Linked DNA regions of Nothobranchius furzeri. The protein of the gene in region 2 purifies or fractionates together with the protein of the main gene of each other region. This does not show direct contact. Links are inferred from orthologs where the notes say so. Each region holds a gene or a part of one and is shown on either strand. Other genes may lie near its edges.

Evidence for each region. Proteins that work in one complex are often made in the same cells at the same time.
Region 1: the proteins of orc2 (region 2) and fxr1 purify together in Homo sapiens (affinity purification with mass spectrometry; 4 studies listed by BioGRID and IntAct, with this or other methods). This does not show direct contact. The link is inferred for Nothobranchius furzeri from reciprocal best matches to the Homo sapiens genes ORC2 and FXR1.

Annotation. Positions count from the first base shown.
Region 1 is NC_091748.1:72,994,718-73,004,905, forward strand, and holds the start of fxr1 (RNA-binding protein FXR1), read right to left. Parts: upstream 5,862-10,188; 5' UTR 5,836-5,861; coding exon 5,746-5,835; intron 1,028-5,745; coding exon 975-1,027; intron 876-974; coding exon 782-875; intron 697-781; coding exon 625-696; intron 480-624; coding exon 331-479; intron 1-330. UniProt on the Homo sapiens protein: mRNA-binding protein that acts as a regulator of mRNAs translation and/or stability, and which is required for various processes, such as neurogenesis, muscle development and spermatogenesis.
Region 2 is NC_091751.1:63,946,177-63,956,364, forward strand, and holds orc2 (origin recognition complex subunit 2), read left to right. Parts: upstream 1-3,061; 5' UTR 3,062-3,198; exon of another isoform or gene 3,199-3,332; 5' UTR 3,333-3,334; coding exon 3,335-3,404; intron 3,405-3,523; coding exon 3,524-3,682; intron 3,683-4,053; coding exon 4,054-4,140; intron 4,141-4,229; coding exon 4,230-4,319; intron 4,320-4,395; coding exon 4,396-4,427; intron 4,428-4,506; coding exon 4,507-4,564; intron 4,565-4,639; coding exon 4,640-4,938; intron 4,939-5,017; coding exon 5,018-5,127; intron 5,128-6,345; coding exon 6,346-6,478; intron 6,479-6,566; coding exon 6,567-6,663; intron 6,664-6,748; coding exon 6,749-6,895; intron 6,896-7,016; coding exon 7,017-7,188; intron 7,189-8,485; coding exon 8,486-8,547; intron 8,548-8,615; coding exon 8,616-8,734; intron 8,735-8,814; coding exon 8,815-8,898; 3' UTR 8,899-9,016; downstream 9,017-10,188. Other genes in the region: zgc:162816 (D-serine dehydratase), read left to right, coding at 485-590, 791-880. UniProt on the Homo sapiens protein: Component of the origin recognition complex (ORC) that binds origins of replication. DNA-binding is ATP-dependent. The specific DNA sequences that define origins of replication have not been identified yet.

The DNA of each region.
Region 1 (10,188 bases), on a different chromosome or scaffold from region 2:
AGTGGTCAGACAAAATACAATGTAGTAGTTTTTGTTGTGGGGTGTTTTCATTTTTGCTTTGAAGATTTTGTGATCTAAGTTATTTTATTAACCTTAATTTCATGTTGTGGAGTTAAACAAGAGTTCAATAAAACCCAGCCTTGGGAAAACACTGGAACTTTTTCTTTTGAGCTACTGATTAAATTCATACTTTTTAAAGGGGGTGTACTCATTTATGCTGAGCACTGTATGTCAGACTGTAGCTAATATTTAACACAAATACTAGAAGCTAGTTCTATAACTTCTAACTTTGTACATCTAATGCTGAAACGTTAATGATGCTGTACGCACGCTTCTTGCAGATCCTGAGGAACAGGGACAGTGCACTTGTGAAAGGAGTTCTTGGTAATGGCCTTGTTAGGGTTGACTGGTCGCAGACGATCAAAGGTAACAATTTCGTTGTAAGTGGCGTCACAAGCTGCATACTCAATCACATAGAACTGAAAAATAAAAGTAGGTTGAATGATTTTAGACAGAATGATAAAACAAGATAAATCTGATTTTAAATCCAACAAGGTTTTGTTTGTTCTTTTACATTTGTAGCACTGCAACAGCTTAACTTTGTACATGAAGAAGAATACTCACATCTCCCTTCATCATGCGAACTTTAGCTAGCCACCAACCACAAGGCTCCTGTTCATTGGCTCTGGAGAATATCTGCCATGAGGTGAAATAAATTAAAGAGTAAGACTCAGACAAGATAAAAGAATAAAAGGTTTAACGTAGCAAGTGTCTACCCCACCTCCACCTCCTCGCCCTCTCCGATCTCCTTCTTGGCATCAGCAGGCGGTGGCAATCTGACATCACTGAAGGGCACCTGGCGTTCTGGCTGCCAACTAAAATACAAACCTCTAATGTCACAACTTGACTCTCTCACAAATCTTAACTTGATGTTTTACAAAAACACAAGAAGGGTACAAGAAACGGTGGCTTACTTGTTCTCAAAGGCAATGGTGAGAGAGTCACCGTGGACATCTTTGACAAAGCCCTGCAGGACATAGACAAGCGGGTGAGTGACGAGTGTGCCACTTCTTCCTTTAAAGTTCCTTTGAAGTTTTCTAACTGAAAACCCAGTGACCCCCAAACCCCCACCCTTTATTCCGTCTCTGTTTTATTAAACATTTACAGTAGAGCCATAGATATAAATACATAGATTGGGCTATGTATAGATGGGGGGGGGCAAGTTTGGCTGGAGATCACACTTGTTTTAGTGCTCTAGTTACAGACATCGTATCTGTAGACACGACGTAGACTGGCACTGCCTAGTGGAGCTGCTGTAACAGCAGGTCCTCATCTTGGATGGGTCTCCATCCACCCCCTGTGCATTTATTTCTACTGAGGAAGGTGCTTACCCGACTAAAACACATTTTATTATGCTTTTCACAAAAACAGACATATGGTACGTAGGGTTGTCACGGTAACCGGAATAGCGGTAAACCCCGGTAAAAAAAAGTTGACAATAATAATAACCGTCTTGTTTAAAAAAAAACATATATTATCTCGGTGGGTTACCGTGGCTGCGGTGTAGCGCGGTGACCCTTACCAGCCACCGTATCATCTGCTGAAGTTGCCGGCGGCACATGCTCGCTTTGTTGTTTACAACCAAAACTTTCTTGAAGCTAAAGCTGAAATAATGACCAGAGGAGGAGACGGCAGCACTCAGGACATTTTTTATCCCTCAAGGAAGACAAAGTGGGAAGTACGGGCATCTTTTGGATATTTGAAGAATGCCGAGGGACAGTTTATAGAAGATGCCACGGCTATCCTGTTTGCAGCACGTGCAGAAAAAGTGTCTGTGAAAGGCAGCAACGCCTCAAATCTCATGACACATCTGCGTGACCATCACCCACAACTCTACAGTCAACGCAAGGCAAGCTAACGTTAGCGTTTTAGCTAAAATGCGTGATCCGAGGATTTGGGTTGAGGGAGAATGCAACGAGTCGCTATATAAAGCAGCCGCAGCGCCGCTACCTGCATATAAACCGTGTCGCAGACACCCCCATGTTGAAATGACGCTATGCATTACGGGGCTCCCAGGGGCAGATAAGAGTTGGTCTCTCTCTGAGAATAATTATGAATTTATGACATTTTCCCAAATCTGCAAAGCTCACTGGAAGAACACAAACTGAGGACAATATTTTCCTGATATATGGTTTATTACTCAAATAAGGGTAAAAAAGTATCTGATTAGAAAGCTACTTGAGTACTGAGTATCATCTGATCTAATATTTTTAAAATGATGACATCAATTAGACAAAAGATAAGAAGTTATGGGCAAATATTGGTATTTTAAAGACTAAAGGGAAAAAATGTAAACAAATAAACAACATAATTACAAAATAACACATTTTAGGCAAAATTTAGACACAAACTGAGGACAATATTTCCTGACATACAGGGTTTATTTAATTGTGTGAAAATGTAGCACGTTTAAAAAAAATACCGCGATACCCCCCGCACCGTGAGAACAAACATCCCAGCTCCAAGGCCGATCTTTATCCGCGTACGTCACACGTCACGTGATCAGGAAGCAGAAAATCCATGTGTGAGGAGATCGTTTTGGGCCGCTGCTGTAAAAAAGTGAGGCACGAACCGGAAAAGCTTCTGCCGATCACAATTCGACAACCGATTATGAAAGAACGGATAACGCTGGAAACACGCGGATTCTTCCTGATGTAAGAGGTGAGTCTCCTCTTTGTTTTGGTTGTTTTGGCGTCGACATCCGGAACTTTCCGGAACTGCACTACTCTGGGTGGCCGTATGTTGGAGTAGCTCTGTTGATTATATGCAAGTTTTGCCTTTTCTTGGACATTTTTTCTTCTAGTTTCTCAAGAAAAACTGTATTTTTGGACACTTTGCTTTTCTGTTTCTGGTGCTGTGAAGCTTGGGGGATTTTTACTGCTATTTTTTAGCTTTTTTCACTTTTTGAGCAGTTGTTATGATGCGTAACCATGGCAACAGTCTGGTTTACAATCGGTAGCAGCTGATTAACATTGGAAAGGCTGAAATAATACCTCAACTGAAGCCACAAATCCCAAATGAGCTAAAACGCAAGAAGTATGGGTGCAGAGCGGGAGCAAAACGGAGACAGAGAAAGAGGAAATTCAAACCATCTCTTCCATCAATCATAATGGGCAACATGAGATCACTGGCCAACAAGATGGAGGAACTCCAAGCCCTTTCAAGGACTCAGCCAGAGTTTCGACAGTTTCAGAACCGCTGGAGGAGATAATGCAAAGAAGGATTCTCCAGATAATCAAGAAGATTATGGACAACCCTGAGCATTCTCTTCACAAGACTGTCCGACAACGGAAGAGCGTCTTCAGTCAGAGGCTTCTTCAGTTTCGCTGCAACACTGACCGCTACTGGAGATCCTTCCTGCCAACAGCCATTGTAATATACAATAACTCTTTGATGACTTGATTATTATTATTATTCTGAGCTACTACAGCAATCAATTTCCCTCTGGGATTAATAAAGTATTTTTGAATTGAATTGAATCATCCTAGAGCACAACATTCTGCACTTGTCATTCTTTTAAATTTCTAGAGACCACTTTATCAATGTGTCATCATTACTGGTATTACAATTTCTTCACACTGTGTATTTATTTCAAGCTCAATAAATATATTTGAGAGTAAATGAAGAACGGTTCTAAATCAAGTGGGATTAAAGGGCAGACTGGTTCTTGTGCCAAGTTTAATAAACATTTTCTAATTTAAATTCATCTTCATTAGATTGAATTTCAAAATGAGCTTTTGTTTTGTATTTAAAGAGCAAGTCAACCCCTACCAGAGTCTAACTCCACTCCCGCTTCATGTTTGAAAAATGCAACACATGCTGTTGCCTGGCAGACCGAGAGGGCGGAGCCGCTAACAAATACACACACACTCAGGCTCACGACAGCATTGTGACATCATAATGTACCAGTTTACATCATAGCATACTTCTTAGCCAATAGCGGTGGCAGATTTAAATTAAAATACAGTGCAGAGTTTTTACCTGACAATGGCACAACACTGCCAGTTTGAGGCAGAATATTTAAATTTTAACTAAGATGCACTGAAGTGCCAAATTATTGATGACACGTGTCTGCAGCACGATTAGACACTCGTTTATTTAGTTTATCAGCAAAAAAAAGTTTATTTGGGGGTGACTTGCTCTTTAAAGAGCAAGTCACCCCCTACCAGAGTATTACTCCACTCCCACTTCATGTTTGAAAAATGCAGCAAATGCTCTTGCCAAGCAGACCGAGAGGGCGGAGCTGCTAACAAATACACACACACACACACAGGCTCAAAACGACATTAGGACATCATATCGTACCAGCTAACATTCTAGGGTACCTCTTAGCCAATAGCGATGGCAGATTTAAATTCAACTGCAGTGCAGTGTTAACCTGACAATGGCACAATGGACAGTTTTAGGCAGAACATTTACATTTTAACTAAAATGCACTAAAGTGCTAAACTATTGACTACACGTGTCCGCAGCACGATTAGACAAGCATTTATATAGTTTATCAGAAAAAAAAAAGTTCATTTAGGGGTGACTTGATCTTTACTGCATCTGAATGGCCCCTCAAGTAATCTATATAGTATCAAATCTATACCATGTGGAGCAGAACAGATGTGATTTGGGAGATTGTTTGCAGTAAATCATCAGATCACAACAATGCTGACTGGACTTTCATCTTAAATCAGCAGTCGTGGGGATGAAACCCAAGAATTCTGACATTTATATTCGAAAGTATATTTAATCTCTTTTGAGGAACAGCCTGCGGGTCTTTTATAAAAGTCATGTGACAATCTTGTCTGAAACTGTGTGGCAGGGACTTTACAGAGAAAAGAACGTCACACCTTCACGTAACTCACGAGTTTAAAAGATGCAGTGTAACTGGGAATGGCTGAGGTAAACATATGAGCAAAAAGGAACAGTGATCTCGGTATTATAATGAGCTGCATCACCGGGGGCATGGGGATGAAACGAAACCGAGAGAAGTGAAAGAGAAAATACAAAAGTATCACTTTAGGGCCGAGGTCTAGAAATAGCTTACAAGTGTACAATATCACCGAGGCTCTGCTGACATGCCAACTGCTCTGGACTGACAGGGAACAGCTGGCACACATAGCGAAGATGGCCTGAACATGATCAAGTATCAAATAATAGACGGTGACAGGAAGATATGGTAGTCTGTGAAGAGCGTTGCAGGCGTGGTGCTTTCTGAACGCCGTTAGTAAAAAATAAAAATAAATAAAAAATACCCTCCAAACCAATTATGTGTTGTTATTCTAAAACGAATAAAACGTCAACCCCGACAAGGAATACATGTTTAACGGATAGCTTTATTCAACTATTAGACGTCAACAGTTTGCGAGTTAGCTAACTTTTAGCTAATGACCGTTACAGTCACGGGAATGCAAAAAAACAGCTTTCACGTGTTTAATATCTGAGGTATAACGGAAAGGACAGTGATTCCTCTCATTTGTGTTGGGCAAAAGTCGATAAAACAAAACACTTGGCAAAAACAAGCGACCGACGTTAGCTTAGCCTGCTAATTTTGGCTAGCTGCACTTTAACAACAAACAGTTCGAGGACTCAAAGACACTCGGAACACGTAGTTACGGTCCTCGAAACTTCAGCTAACAGTCTGTATTGGGTAACGAAGTGCTACTTTTACAGCTGTGATGATATGCCGGTATTTACCTTATAATAAGCGCCGTTGGAGCCACGGACCTCCACCGCCAGTTCTTCCATATTGGACACGCAAAGGATGCCGGGACGACAGGTGTTCATTAGGGCTCCGATAGAGAGGCATGTTGTGGCGTTAGAAACTGTATTTTTGTGGTTTACATTTAAAATTATGATTGTTATTTAATGCTTTATGTTTGTGGGTTTCCTTTTAAGTTTCATATTTAATGCCCCACATCACTGGGGATATTTAACACGTTGTTTTATGAAGATGTTCAAAAGCATCATTCTGTAAAATGTAATGAGAATAATGTAAGAAGAGTCATTAAAATGAGAACATATTTCACATTTAATGATACACATGTCAGCTGAAATGCCACATTCAGACTAAGTTCACTACAAACAAACAACAGACGTGTGTCTGGCTTAAGATCACACATGGAATGAGTAGAAATCTTCATTGCTTCCAGGTATCACATCCAGAACATTCCGTTGAAAATATTCTCTCATAGAAGCTTAGACCTTCATGAAATAGTAACTCCAAAGTGAAGGCTTCTCTGGTCTGCTTGGTAACGAAATCATAACTAGGTTGTCATGAGTCGGGGTGAGTACTCGTCTCACACATTCCACCTTTGAGTTGTGTTTCAGGAGAGGGAGGCTTCCAGCTGCGCCAGGTTAGCAATCGGGGGGACCGGCTACTTAAGGAGTTGGAGAACACACCTCGACGCGGGATGATTACTACAGCTCGGTAGTTTCCAGCTTTCTAGTGTTGCAGTGATTTTGTGCCTCTTGTGTTTTTGGCTTATTGATCTATGTGGATTTTTTTGTGCTCACGCCTTCTTCAGGATTTTTGGAACATCTCTGGAGTAGAGACTTCTCAGGATTCAGTGACTCATCAGGATACTCACCTTTGCCACGTAACCCTTCAGGATGCAGCTCTCTGCTGTTCTCCATTCCTCCATCCAATCCGCTCACCTGCTCTCTCCACGCTCCCTCTCCTGGACCTCCTCACCCGGACACACCCCGACTCTGGACCTGCCCTTCCCAATACCTACACCTCCCAAATTCCCTATGCTGCGCTCCGTTTCCCGACCTCCACTGGAATTCCCAGTGCACCTTATGTTCTCGTTCTAAAATAAACATTCTTTTTTTTTTTCATTAAATCAGTGAGTTTATTGTGATTGCATGTCCTGGGTTAAACGCCTTCCCCAGACCATGTCAGAATCATCCCGCCAACCCGCTAACCCTGCAGACACAACTCTCACCGATCATCTCCATAGGGTGTCCCAACAGGAGCAGACGATGCCGCTGCAAATGAAGCAGCTTAACGCAGCCCAAAGTCGTTGCCAGCAGCTGGAGGCCCTGGTGCGGCAGATCCACAACCGAGTGTCTCAGCCGCAGACTCCTAGAACGGAACCTCAGGCGGCCGCTCCAGTTGCCTCCGGACCGGAAGTTCCAGTTCCCACAGAGATCACCCACTTCCATCCAGCCGCTTCTCCTCCATCCCAGACATTCGGCGGTGAGTTCAAGGACTGCCATAGCTTCCTCCTTCAGTGTCGTCTCGCATTTGAACGCTCACCAGGAGCTTTTTCCACAGACTCAATTAAAATGTCATATATTGTTGGACTACGTCATGGACGAGCCCTACGGTGGGCTGAAGCTAAGAGCCATTGTGCCACTTTTCTATTAGGACCTCATGATGAGTTTTTAACGGACTTCACACAGACTTTTGGACAGACCGAATTTGTTTTGGATATTAGGAAGCGACTCTGGACATTGTCACAGGGTCGACGATCAGTGGCGGACATGTCTGTGGAGTTCAGGACTTTGGCAGCAAGGACTTCATGGAACGAAGAAGCACTAATTGCTGCGTTCACAGAGGCTCTCAGTGATCGAGTCCAGGACCAGTTGGCGTTGTGCCAGGAACCTCAGTCTCTGGAGGGACTCATTCGCCTTGCCATCTCCATTGACAAACGTCACCAGGAGCTACAGCGCCCGGTCACCAGTGCTCGTCCAGCTCCCACTCCTGACCGTAACCAGGGGACTGGATATCGCTCCTCTTCTGAGACTACCACAACTGATGAACCCATGCAGATGGGTTGGACTCGTCTTTCCCCAGAAGAGCGGGAACATCGAATAAGGTCAGGTCTATGTTTGTATTGCGGGGGGCCCGGACACTTCGCCAGAGTCTGCCCAGCACTGGCAAAAGGCAGAGCCCACCAGTAAAACCGGGACTACTGGTGGGCAGAAACTCCAGCTCCCGTTGTTCTATCCAGTGTACTGTGTTTTTAATTCTGAACAGTTTCAGCTAGAGGCATTGGTGGACTCTGGTTGTGAGCAGTCTATGTTGGATCCTGGCTAGGTAGAGAGGTGGAATACCCCTACCACTCGTTTGTCGTCTCCTCTCCCTGTGTCATCACTGGATGACAGGGCTTTATCCACCATCACTCACCAGACCATTCCCCTACAGTTAAGAGTGTCAGGTAACCACACAGAACGTCTGGCATTTTTTGTATTTCCCTCTCCCCAGTCCCCGTTCGTCCTGGGCCACTCTTGGTTGAAACGCTACAACCCCCAGCTGAACTGGAAAACCAACCGGATAGAAGGATGGAGTCCAGAGTGTTCTCAAGTTTGCCTTCGCTCAGCCTCACCAACCTTCCACAGCCCCACAATCCCTTCTGCAGAAGAGATTGATCTCTCCAAAGTACCTCTGGTCTACCATGACCTCAGACAGGTATTCAACAAAGACCGTGCTTCTTCTCTTCCCCCACACAGACCTTTTGACTGCAGCATTGAGTTGCTGCCTGGAGCTCCACTTGCCTCCAGTTGCCTATATCACCTTTCCAAGCCTGAGAGGGAGAGTATGGAGAGTTACATCCAGGAGTCTCTGGCAGCCGGTCTTATCAGGCCCTCCACCTCACCTCTGGGAGCAGGGTTTTTCTTTGTTCCAAAAAAGGAGGGAATGCTCAGGCCTTACACAGACTACAGGGGGTTAAACAAAATAACTGTAAAAAACAAGTATCCTCTGCCTCTGTTAACTTCCACTTTTGAGCCCATTCAGGACGCCACTATTGTCAGCCACTTGGATCTCAGGAATGCCTTCCACTTAGTACGGATCCGTCAGGGAGATGAGTGGAAGACGGGGTTTAAAATTCCTTTAGGACATTTTGAGTATCTGGTAATGCCTTTTGGCCTGACTAATGCTCCTGCTGTGTTTCAGTCACTTGTGAACTCTGTCTTAGGAGATTATTTGAATAAGTATGTGACTGTCTATTTGGATGATATCTTAATTTTTTCAAGTACTCTAGAACAACATGTTCAGCATGTTCGGTCGGTGTTACAGCGCCTCCTGGAAAACTGGCTTTATGTGAAGGCTGACAAATGTATGTTTCATGTCACCACGGTTAAGTTTTTAGGATTTGTCATCGAGAGTGGGAGGCTGAAGGCAGACCCTGAGAAGGTCTAGGCAGTCACGGAATTGCCTACCCCATCCTCCCGTAAACAACTCCAGAGATTCCTGGGTTTCGCCGACTTCTACAGGAGATTCATCAGAAACTTCACTCAGACAGCCGCTCCTTTAACTAACCTCGCCTCCATTAACCAGCCTTTTGTTTGGTCCCCAGAAGCCCAAGCAGCTTTTCTGATGCTGAAAAGGAAGTTCACACATGCTCCGGTGCTCCACCGACCAGACCCCCAACTCCAGTTTACACTCGAGGTGGATGCCTCAGACACCGGACTTGGTGCAGTACTGTCTCAGGTATCTCCTTCTGACCATCGCCTTCCCCCTTTTGCCTTTTTTCTTGCCGTTTAACCCCAACAGAGAGCAGATACAACGTAGGCGACAGAGAGCTCTTGGCAGTGAAACTCGTCATCGAGGAATGGAGACACTGGCTTCAGGGGGCTGAGATCCCCTTCATCATCTGGACCGATCATAAAAATCTGGTCTACCTGAGAGAGGCAAAGAGACTCAACCCGCAACAATACAGGTGGTCCCTTTTTTTCTCTCACTTCAACCTTCAGATTTCATACCGCCCAGGCCCCAAGAACACCAAGCCAGATGCTCTCTCAAGACAACACGCACCTGACCAGGAGACAGAGCCCTCCACGATCCTACCCCCCACGTGTGTGGTGGGAGGGGTGACGTGGGAGATCCGAGACCAGGTTTTAGAGGCCCAGAGGACCGATCCAGGTCCAGGGATGGGACCTCCTGGCAGACTCTGGGTTCCGCAGGCTGTGAGGGGCAAAGTTATTCATTGGGCACATATTGGCAGATTTTCACTCCATCCCAGAGTTGGGCATACAATAGCTCTCATTAGATGCACGTTCTGGTGGCCTGCCATGTACAGGGATGTCAAAGACTATATATCAGGGTGTCATACTTGTGCTCAGCAAAAAGGAGACCGCCGGTCCCAGGCAGGACTATTAAACCCACTAGCAACCCCTTCTCGACCATGGTCT
Region 2 (10,188 bases):
TAAATTGTTCCCGTGTCAATAAATGTGATAATAAAAAATGAAAAGATGTGTGTAGATGGGCAACATTCATGTCCCTTTAAGAAGCTGTACCACCTTGAGTCACGTAAAAATGTGATTCAACGTAATACACGCGACAGCCCCATCTAGTGGACAATTTTCATTTCTGCTAATACCTGTAGTTATCGTCCACTTATCGTTATCGAGGTGAAATCCTCAATATATCGTGATATTGATTTTAGACCATATCGCCCAGCCCTACCAGATATAATTATGTATTTATCTACTTATCAACTTTGCTTATCATCTAGAATCTTCTGGTGCTGATCTGTAACTGGCAAGAGCCATAAAACTCACAGAACAACAGTGAGACAGTAACTTTTTGTTTAGCAAAGTGAGCTGCAGTCACCATATTTGACCACAAGATGTCATTTTTACTTCATTCTTACATGTTGTTTATGTTGCACTTGGTTATGTATCCCTCCAGGTTGTCATCAATGACTCAGGAACATGGAAGACTGGAGCCCATCTCGGGTCATCTGGACTACAGCAAATACCCTCTTGGTACTTTGCTCTCGTTGATCCCCCACCACGTTAGTATTGTTTAATGTGACCTTTAGCAACCTGTCTGTAGGATTAAAAGAGGCTCGGTTAGAAGATTATATTCTGTTATCCAAGAAGCCGTCAGTGACGGGAGTTCCTCTGAAGGTTCTCATACTGGACATTCCTTCATGTGGTGTCGGATTCATTGTGTTGCTATTGTGTTTTAAAGTTTATTTTTATTTTATTTCAGTCCTGTGCGACAGCCATGATGCATCCCGTGTATCATGTACACTCCAAGGGTCGTCTGCTGGGGACGTGGAACCCCACCCGTGGGTGGTGAAGCCCAAGTTTTGACCTGGATGTTGTTAGATGAAGATACTTGTCCACCTAAAACAGCATATTTGTGGTTGATTAGACTGGTGTCTGGAAAAAAAAACATATCAGAGCCTGTTTTTATGAGACTTTAACCATTTTCTAAATCGATGTGTTGTAAAATTGGCCATCTTTGTTTTTACGTAATGTTATCTCTGTAAATCAAAGCAAATTTAAAAAATTTGTTTTTGTCCATTGTGTAGATAAATACATTTCAGTGAGACGAGTTGTTTACTGATTGTTTAATTAATATCATGATCATTCTTTCTGTCGCCATTTAAATGGTAGAATTCTAGCCTTAAACACATACAAAGGTTATATTTTAATGGAACATTTCTCACGTTTGATTTTGTCCCCTTGACCCTCTTGTATTATCTCAAAGGTGATGGGGGTTTTTTGCTGCCGATACCGATATCAAAGAATGCTGATCACCGATACCGATCATGTGGATTGGCCAGAAATTTTATACAACATTACAATGAGTGCTACAAACCACATAATCTGGGAATAAAGGAAATGTAACCTAATCTAAAATGGTCTGATCGGTCTGCTTTGATCTATTTTGAAAACTCCGATCAAAACCGATAGGGGCGCTATCGGCCGATTGGGATCAAATGCCAATCCATCGGTGCATCCCTAGTTCAAACCAGTGACTTAGAAATAATGGAAAATAAAGGCTTGACACCAACTATCAGAATTTGATCAGCAGTCTCCTCTCCTATTTAGGGACAATCGAAGAGACATAAAAATGTTGAGCTGCTGTGTCGCCCTGACCCTAAACCCTACTGTTATTTAATGCTGATGTTGTTTCAGTGATAACGTAGTTTTTTATTAAAGCTCAGTCATTTCAGTTTTTATTTTAAATCAATATAATAGGAATTATCAACCAGAACAAACCCAAACTTATGAGCGAGTGTATTTCCCTGCCTCGCCCCATGAGATCTCCGAGGAAGACATAAAAATGAATAACATCCAGAAGATTAAAGGAGGAATTTAGATCCACATAAAGGAGATTTTATACATGGTGGATTGTATTCATACAGAATTGAAGATGTTCTTGTCAAAAAAGTGCAGATATTGTCTTGTGTAAAACTGTATCAACTAAATTTTTGTAGTGAAAGGTGAAAAAATAAACTGTTTCAATGAGCAAAAGTGAATCCAAAGTGTTAAATAGTTTTCTAAATCTGGATTCTCACGAACAAATTTGTCAGTATAAATATAGACGCAACACTTTTGTTTTTGCTCCCATTTTTCATGAGCTGAACTGAAACCTCTGAAACTTTTTCTACATGCGGTGGGATGGATCATCTTGGTAGAGGGAAAGTGCTCACTAACACACACACACACGTAGACAGATTTCAGAATAATATTTGAGGCCGCTAGAACGAAAAGACTTAACTAATAGCAAGACATCTAAATCCCCTTTCTTTAGTGAATCTTTAACCGGATTGTGGAGTTGAATGAATACTAAATAAACAATAATCACAGCATCAAACGTGACACACACTGATTCTCAAGACTACTTGAAATTGAAACTGAATGAAAAAAATAAACATGGCAATAAAATGCCCTTTACAGATTACCAAGAAATGTGATTCTTATTGAAAATGACCACAAACTGAATGTAACTTGAAATATGGACATTAACTAATGTCAGATCAGATATCAACCTGAATCATTAAAGTATTTTAATCAGTATCCAGTCAATCCTTGTATTTAGGATTTGGTTTAATCCTAATTTATTATTTTTATAATTCATATATTATTTTTAAACATATTTGTAATCATTTTTTAAATCTTTTTATACTTGAATTTTTTGGTTTTGTGAAGCGCCTCGTGATTTTTAACTTGAGAGAAAAGATCGTTCTCTTTCTTTCTTTTCTTTACAACGTTAAACTTTATTTTCACAGTTCTATTTTCATTATTTTCACTACTTCTTCTTTTCTGTGCTTAAGCGTGTCATATTGTGTCCATTACATTTGATCTTACCTGTACAAAGTTTTTTCTACTGCTGTGAATTAGAGTAAGAATACCTGACTTGAATATTATTTGTCTGTGGACTTGTGACAGGCGGACTTGTTGAAAGGATTCTTGGGAAACGTAGTTTTACTGCTACTAGCGTTTTGATTGGCCACTTTATGACCTTTCCACTCAGTCACGTGATTTAAAATGTTCAGAATGGCGCGGAAACTTGTCACATCGCTTCTCAATTAAACTTTCCGACTTTAAAGTTTTGTTTATGTTTTAAATTTTATATTGTTTTGCGGACTTTTTCCGCCCGTTTGAGTAAGTCTCGACCTTTTGCGCTCACTTTCCTCAGCTTTAGCGCGAGAGTTCAAACCGACTCTAGTAGCAGGGCTAATTGTGTGTTTTGCTGCGTGGCTTCAGGCTTGTATCGTGTGTTTTGTGTTTATTGGTAGAAATGAGCGTGTTGGAGGTGAAGTTCGTTGGGGATGGGGATGTTTTGGAGCACATCGTGGACAAACAGGAGGGTATGAGCTGGTTTATCTCTGCTGTTTTGTTTTTTGCCCATTCGCTCTCGTTTTATGTGTGCGTGTGTGTGTGTGCGCGCGCGCGCGCGCGTGTGTGTGTGTGTGTGTGTTGTGACTAGTATTGCAGAGCAGTGCTGGCTCTGGGCTGAGGATGGTGAAGTTTAAGAGCCCGGCTGGACAGAGGGAATGCCTGGAGGAGACTCGGTGTGATGGAGATGAAAACGGAGTCCATGATGAGCTGGGTTATGTCCGAGCTTTAGGAACTGAAAACGATGAAGGTATCCCTTCCTTGGTTCTGGTTTTGTCCTGCTGCATTTTCACCCTCATCCTCCACTCTTCCATCCATAAATCTGCTCTTTGGCTTTCCTCCACGACTCCTGCCTGGCTGTTCCAGCCTGAGCATCCTTCTGCAGATTCCTCCATGTCCAAACCATCTTAGCCTGATCTTATTTCAAATCATCTAACGCAGTCCCTCTAATCCTGATCCTGTCACTCCTGAAGACAATCTCAACATTTTCACCTGCCCTGCCTCCTGTCTTCTCGGTGCCACTGTAGATCATCGAGTTTAGTATTTTGACATTACCTAATAAAGCCATAACATGAACCTAAATGTCTCTTAATGCCACTAATATGTTCTTTGGCTTCACAGAAGTAGACGATAATCCTTCTAGAGTTGCTGGTTCCTCCATCTTCACCTTCCAGAAAGTCAAACGAAGTCACAGCTTGGCCCAAACTGGTGAATCTCCGATTACCTCTCGAACGAAGGCTCAACGTTCATCTTCAGCTGCATTTATTAAACCGTTGTTTTGTTGTTTCCCTTCGTAGCGAGCGAACTGGCTCGGACCCCGGGAAAAAGCGTGAGCTTCACCAGGGACACAAACTCGGAACCCACCACTCCCTCTCGGACAGGCAGCAGTGAGTCGAGCGAACCCACTCCCCGTCCGCCTGTGCTCTCATTATGAAATGATCAGGTTTACTTTTGTCTGTCTAGGCCACGCAGGTGAAAACAGGACACCACAGAGGGTGAGAGAGCTAATACATTTCACTTTATCCAGTGAAGGATTTAGTTTGTTTTAATTTAGTTTTGTTTCTCCTGAAACAGAAAAAGAGTGTCCGGTTTGTCTCCACCACCCCTCACAGACTCAGGAAGAGACTTACAGGTACGCCTGGCCTGTTGTAGTTGTGTTCGTTTAGTAACGCTGGTGTAATCTGGGTGTGGTGGGGCTTATTTTCAGCACCAACTCTTCGGTCTGACAGCGACAGTGAACTCTCCCCCTCTGACTCTGAGGAGGACGAGCTCAAAGAAGAGCAGAGAGGGAAGCAAGAGGACAAGGAGAATGTGAAAAAGACGAGAACCCCTAGTAAAGGGCTTTCTGCAGCTCTCTACAAGACTCCTGCCAAGAGGAGCAAGAACACAGCCGAGCCTCTGAATCAGCCCACCATGACCGAGGAGTATTTTGAGGCTCATGGCAGCTCAAAGGTCCTGACGTCGGACCGGACCCTCCAGCGTTTGCACACCCCTAAGTTTGACCGGGTGTGTGAATTAAAAGTTACATGTTAGTCCATTATAATAAACCTTTGGCTAAACTCCACCTCTTTTACTTTTTGGACAGGAGACGTTGGATCGTCTTTTAGAAGATAAACCGTCTTGCTACTCAAAAGAGATCCAGCAGCTGCACGACAAACACAGGAAGCACTTTAACAAATGGATGTTACAGCTGCAGTGAGTGTGGCGGCGTGCCCTTTCCTACGGTTTGACTCTGTTCTACTAAAACGTCTCCCTAGGGGTTGTATGAACTAGTCGACTTCACGGCTCTGTAGTGACTTTTTATGCCTGTCATCGACTAGTCGCTGTCACGTGATAATGACTGACAAGATGCAGTCCTCCAGCAGGTGATGAGCCCCTGCGTCGGGAGGCGGAGGCGACGCGCTGTGCCAGAGCGTCGGTACTGACACCGGCGGTAAAACGGACATTTAACCAAACTGTGACCTTTACCCTCTTGCAATTTAACCTTCCCCTCACCCCCATCCTAATCTTAACCAGTTTGCGCATGCAAAGCTCTGATCGTTGACGCGCTCCAGACATCTGCGTCCAGAGCACCGCCAAATCAGGTGTCACCACCTCAAAAACTAACTAAACACGCGATCGTTCATGTCGGCTCATTTCCTTTCATGTTTTCTGTCTGTTATTTGTGCCTGATGCGTTTCGCTGCTGCGGAGCGAGGCTCTTCACCTGTTTTGTCCTCCGGTGACGCACCCCCAAGATTCCACTATCTCCGCTCCGGCACGAACTCCGCAGCAAAAACGGTCCCGTTGTAGTCGGCCGGCGAGCAGCGGCACTCCGCTGTTTTTGCGGTCGGTAGATCTTTTAGAACTGCAGTTCAAAGGTAACTCATAAGGTGAATATATATGAACCCAGGTAGCAGTTTTTCTTTAGGACTGAGAGGAGATGCAGGAAGATAATAAACAGGCAGGACAGAAAAATAGGCAAATAAAAACAAGTTAGTTTTTGTACCTGGTGGTTGCAACAAACAGACACCATTGAAGGTAATCAGAAGTGAGGAACAGAAAATGAACTAATTATTTTAATGTTTAGAGCAGCAGGAACTCTGAGAGGCTGCAGGCGCATCAGTGAGTTTGTGGCCGCTGCGCAGGGGGAGGGGGGAGAGGGCTGATGCAGAAACTACCGTTGTTAAAAGAGATGTTTAACTTAGAAAATTCTTTCTTTCAATTTGGGTGCAATTTTAATTGTCAAAAACTCCAGCGAACCTACCGACCCCCCCCCCCCCCCCCCCCCCCCCCCGCCGCCGCTTCAGGTGAATGACGTCATCAACGACTAGTCGAAGTCGACTCGATTTTCATTACTTGACTGTCGACTTTAAAAAAAATTAAGTCATGCAACCCCTACTTCTCCCAAGAGGTGCTTGTTGTTGGTTTGCAGGTTGGGATTCAGTGTTCTGGTTTATGGTTTGGGCAGCAAAAAGGCTTTGCTCGAAGACTTCAGGGTGGCTCATCTGTCTCAAGAGATCCACCTGGTGGTCAACGGGTTCTTCCCCTCCATTACTCTTAAAGCGGTTCGTAGACCAGTGAAAATGTGCGTTTTTATTGCGACTGTCTACAGAAAACAGAACAAACCACAGCTGTCATGTGATCGCGCTGCAGATATTAAACTCCCTGACATGTGAGGTTCTGGAGCACGAAGGAAGTTTCCGCACGCCGTCGGACCAGATCCAGTTCATCGCTCAGACCCTCAAAGGCAGTAAGTCGCTGAGTGAGCGAGACTAGTTGTCTCAGCCTTCACGTTTGTTGGATTTGTGAGTTTTACTTTTCTGACGTCTCTGCAGACCCAGGTCTCCGTGTGTTTTTACTGATCCATAACATTGACGGGCAAATGCTGCGAGGAGAGAAGACCCAGAGCGCACTGGGGCAGCTGGCGTCCTTACCAAACCTGCACTTGGTGGCTTCCATAGACCACATCAATGCTCCACTGGGTGGGTGGTCACGGGAATTAGTACCGCTGTCGGGATCACGGAGAAGCTGGCGCCCATCTCCATCAGCTCGTCACAGGGATTGGTCTGTTCTTGCACCTAAGTGTTCCTAATGTGTTTCCAGTGTGGGACCAGTTCAAGCAGAGCCAGTTTAACTGGTTGTGGTGGGAGTGTGTGACGTTCCAGCACTATGCAGAGGAGACGTCGTATGAAAACTCACTCTTGGTGCAGCAGACGGGTGCTCTCGCTCTGTCCTCCCTCACACACGTGCTCCGCAGCTTGACTCCCAACGCGAGGTACTGCAGCCATGTTGGTCCTAGGGATGCAACGATACCACTTTTTTCCAAACCGATACAATACCGATACTTGGATCTGAATATTTGCCGATACGATTACCGATACCTATACTTCTACCACACAAAAAAAAAGTTATGATTTGGAATACAGATTTTATTTTCTTCTCTGCTTTCAACGGGAAAAGACTGTGAGGTAGATAAAAAGTAAAATACATGAATAGAAATCATCACAAAACTAAATTATCAGGTGAACAGAAATGACAAGTTACAGTGAAGCCATTTTCAAGCAACTGCATTTGTATCGGTTTACTTTTACCGATACCGATACCAGTATCGTATCGGTATCTGCACCGATACCAGTATCGGTATCGGTGCATCCCTAGTTGGTCTCTTTATGCTCCCCTTCCCCCTCACTCAGGATTTCAGTCTCAAAAAGAAAAGCTAATAAATGCATCTTAATCCTGAAATAATCTTTGAAAAATCTACATTAACATGTCACATCTGTGATGTGGTGAACATCCTTCCAACGTTCCAGTTTGTTTTTCTCAAGGTTGGTTTATGCTTGACGCGTCCGCGAGGTCCGCACGACTCCGCGCGGAAAAGTTGCGTCATTTTGCGTCATTTTAACAACCACGCCCCTCCACCGTGCCTCCGCACGGCCCAGAATTTCCGCAACGTGCACCTCGGAAAATTTCTAACCACGCGGACGGACGGATGCGGAAAAACATGGCGGACCGGCAAGAACTAGTATGGCAGAGGTTCATAAATACAGACATTTGTATGATTCAGCTCTCAGAGATCACCGTGATCAACATGTTGTTAATAATTCTTGGAGAGAAATGGCTCGCACTGTCGGAAAAGACGAGGACGCTGTTAAAAATGCTGAAATGCCATGTTGTAAACAGTCATTTCTACTTCTACTATGGTGTAGTGTTGGAAGCATGCCGTAGAGCTCCATGCTGCCCCCTACAGTTTGGGAGAATATTGGCTCACCGCAGAGACGAGCCGCACAAACCATAAACGCTGCCGAGTTGTGAAGCGCGTTCCAGCCGCGACCCGCATCACCGCGCGGAAAGTGAACGCGTCAAGCATAAACCAAGCTTCAGCATCATAATTCTAAAGAGGGAAAAAACGGAAAACTTAACTGTGCTGCATTCCGGGATCTGTAGTTTTTCTGGTTGGTGGGAAGCGCGCCCACAGGCTGTCATAGTACCAGACGGGCCTGCTTTAGCGCTAGAACCGGATCTGATTACTTGTCATATTTTAGGTTTTTAACTGTCGTCTTTTACTCCTGCAGAGGAATCTTCAGACTGTTGGTGAAGTTTCAGCTGGAAAACAAAGACAACCCTTCATACACGGGTACAAAATCCTTCAGCTCCTCCTTTTCATTTCTTCAGTGTGTGACGGTTATAAACATTTGTACGCAGGGTTGTCTTTCCAAGACTTTTACCAGCGCTGCAGAGAAGCCTTCTTGGTGAACTCTGACCTCACACTGAGGACTCAGCTGACAGAGTTTAGGGACCATAAGCTGATTCGGACACGAAAAGTGAGCTTCACCTTACGTTTCCCGCTTCCGCTCTCTGTCCCAGCGTTTCTTTGCTGACTTTGCTTTTCTCTGACCTCCAGGGGGCCGACGGAGTGGAGTACCTGAATGTTGCCGTGGATGCGAACACACTGATGGACTTTTTGGAGAACGAGAAGGATGAATGAAGACAAGACTTAAAATATGTGACCTGTCATTTCTTGTAAATTTATTTGAGCCATTCACTTACTAAAACATTTGCATCTAAGACAGAATTATTGTTTTAAATAAAGAATATTAAATAAGTGAGGGTTGTGTTGTGGTGCTGCTGTTACAACAGAGGGGCGTCTGAAGTTTGAAGCTCGGGAAACGAGATGCACCCTGATCATCAGATCATGACAAAAACTGAACATTCCCACTGAGCTCCGGTGGAGGACAAACCAGAATATTTTAGGCATCTGGCTGATTTGTTCAATCTGACTGGATTAAATGTAAGCAGCTGATTCTTCCACTGAGCGGCACAATGATGAATCTTTCATCAGTCGGCATCAGAGATGTGGATAAGTCAACTTTGTATGTTTATAATGTTGGTGCTCAGTGTTAGATCCAGTATGTGACTGTTGGTTCTTCACAAGACCGTCTGGTCTGCAGACAGATGTTGGAATTGACCCTTCCAGATGTGTCATGGATTTTATCAATAACCCTTTTCTGCAGTCGGAGAGAGAAGGAGACAATGATCAGACAAGTCAACCAGTTATAACTGCGGCACGATGCACCGAACATCCGGTCACAGAGTTTATTTGTAAAGGGTAGTGATGGGTCCAGCAACACCGGCGCATGTGTCAAGCCCATGGAGTGAAACCTGTGTCGATGCGTGTGTCGCTTTAAGAAAAAGTCACGTGACAGACGCTGCTGTGTCACTCATTGCCAAGGCGCCAAGCTGTGTTTAAAAGGTATCGACTCCGCATCTGTCAACGGGGTGAGTCGCCGTGAAAAGAAGAAAATTACCATTTCAAAGATAAAACAAGACATCCCTCTCTACATCAACAAAATGGAGCCAGAGAGAAAAAGAAAAGTCCCTGCTGTGTGGGATCATTTTGTATCTTCTGCAAATAAGGTGCGTGTTGGTCTTTCCTTCTTTCAGCGCATCTGTCAGAGTTGAAAACAGCAATGTGACTGACTCAGTGTAAATTATTTATTTAAATTTATTTAGGTTAAATGTCGCATCTGCTCAGCGGAGTTGTCTATTACGAATAAGAGCACTTCCTCAATGCTGAGACATTATAGTCAAGCATGGAAACGAAGAGGAAGCAAATACACCAAGAACGAACACAGGTAGACCTATTTAGACACTGGGCATGCTTTCTCACAATTGTTTTACTAATATATGTTTTATTATTTTGAAATCAAGAATCTAGGAAGATTGCTCTGGACCTTTCATGGTCTGCGTCTGCGTCTTCCCTCATGTGTCTCCTTGT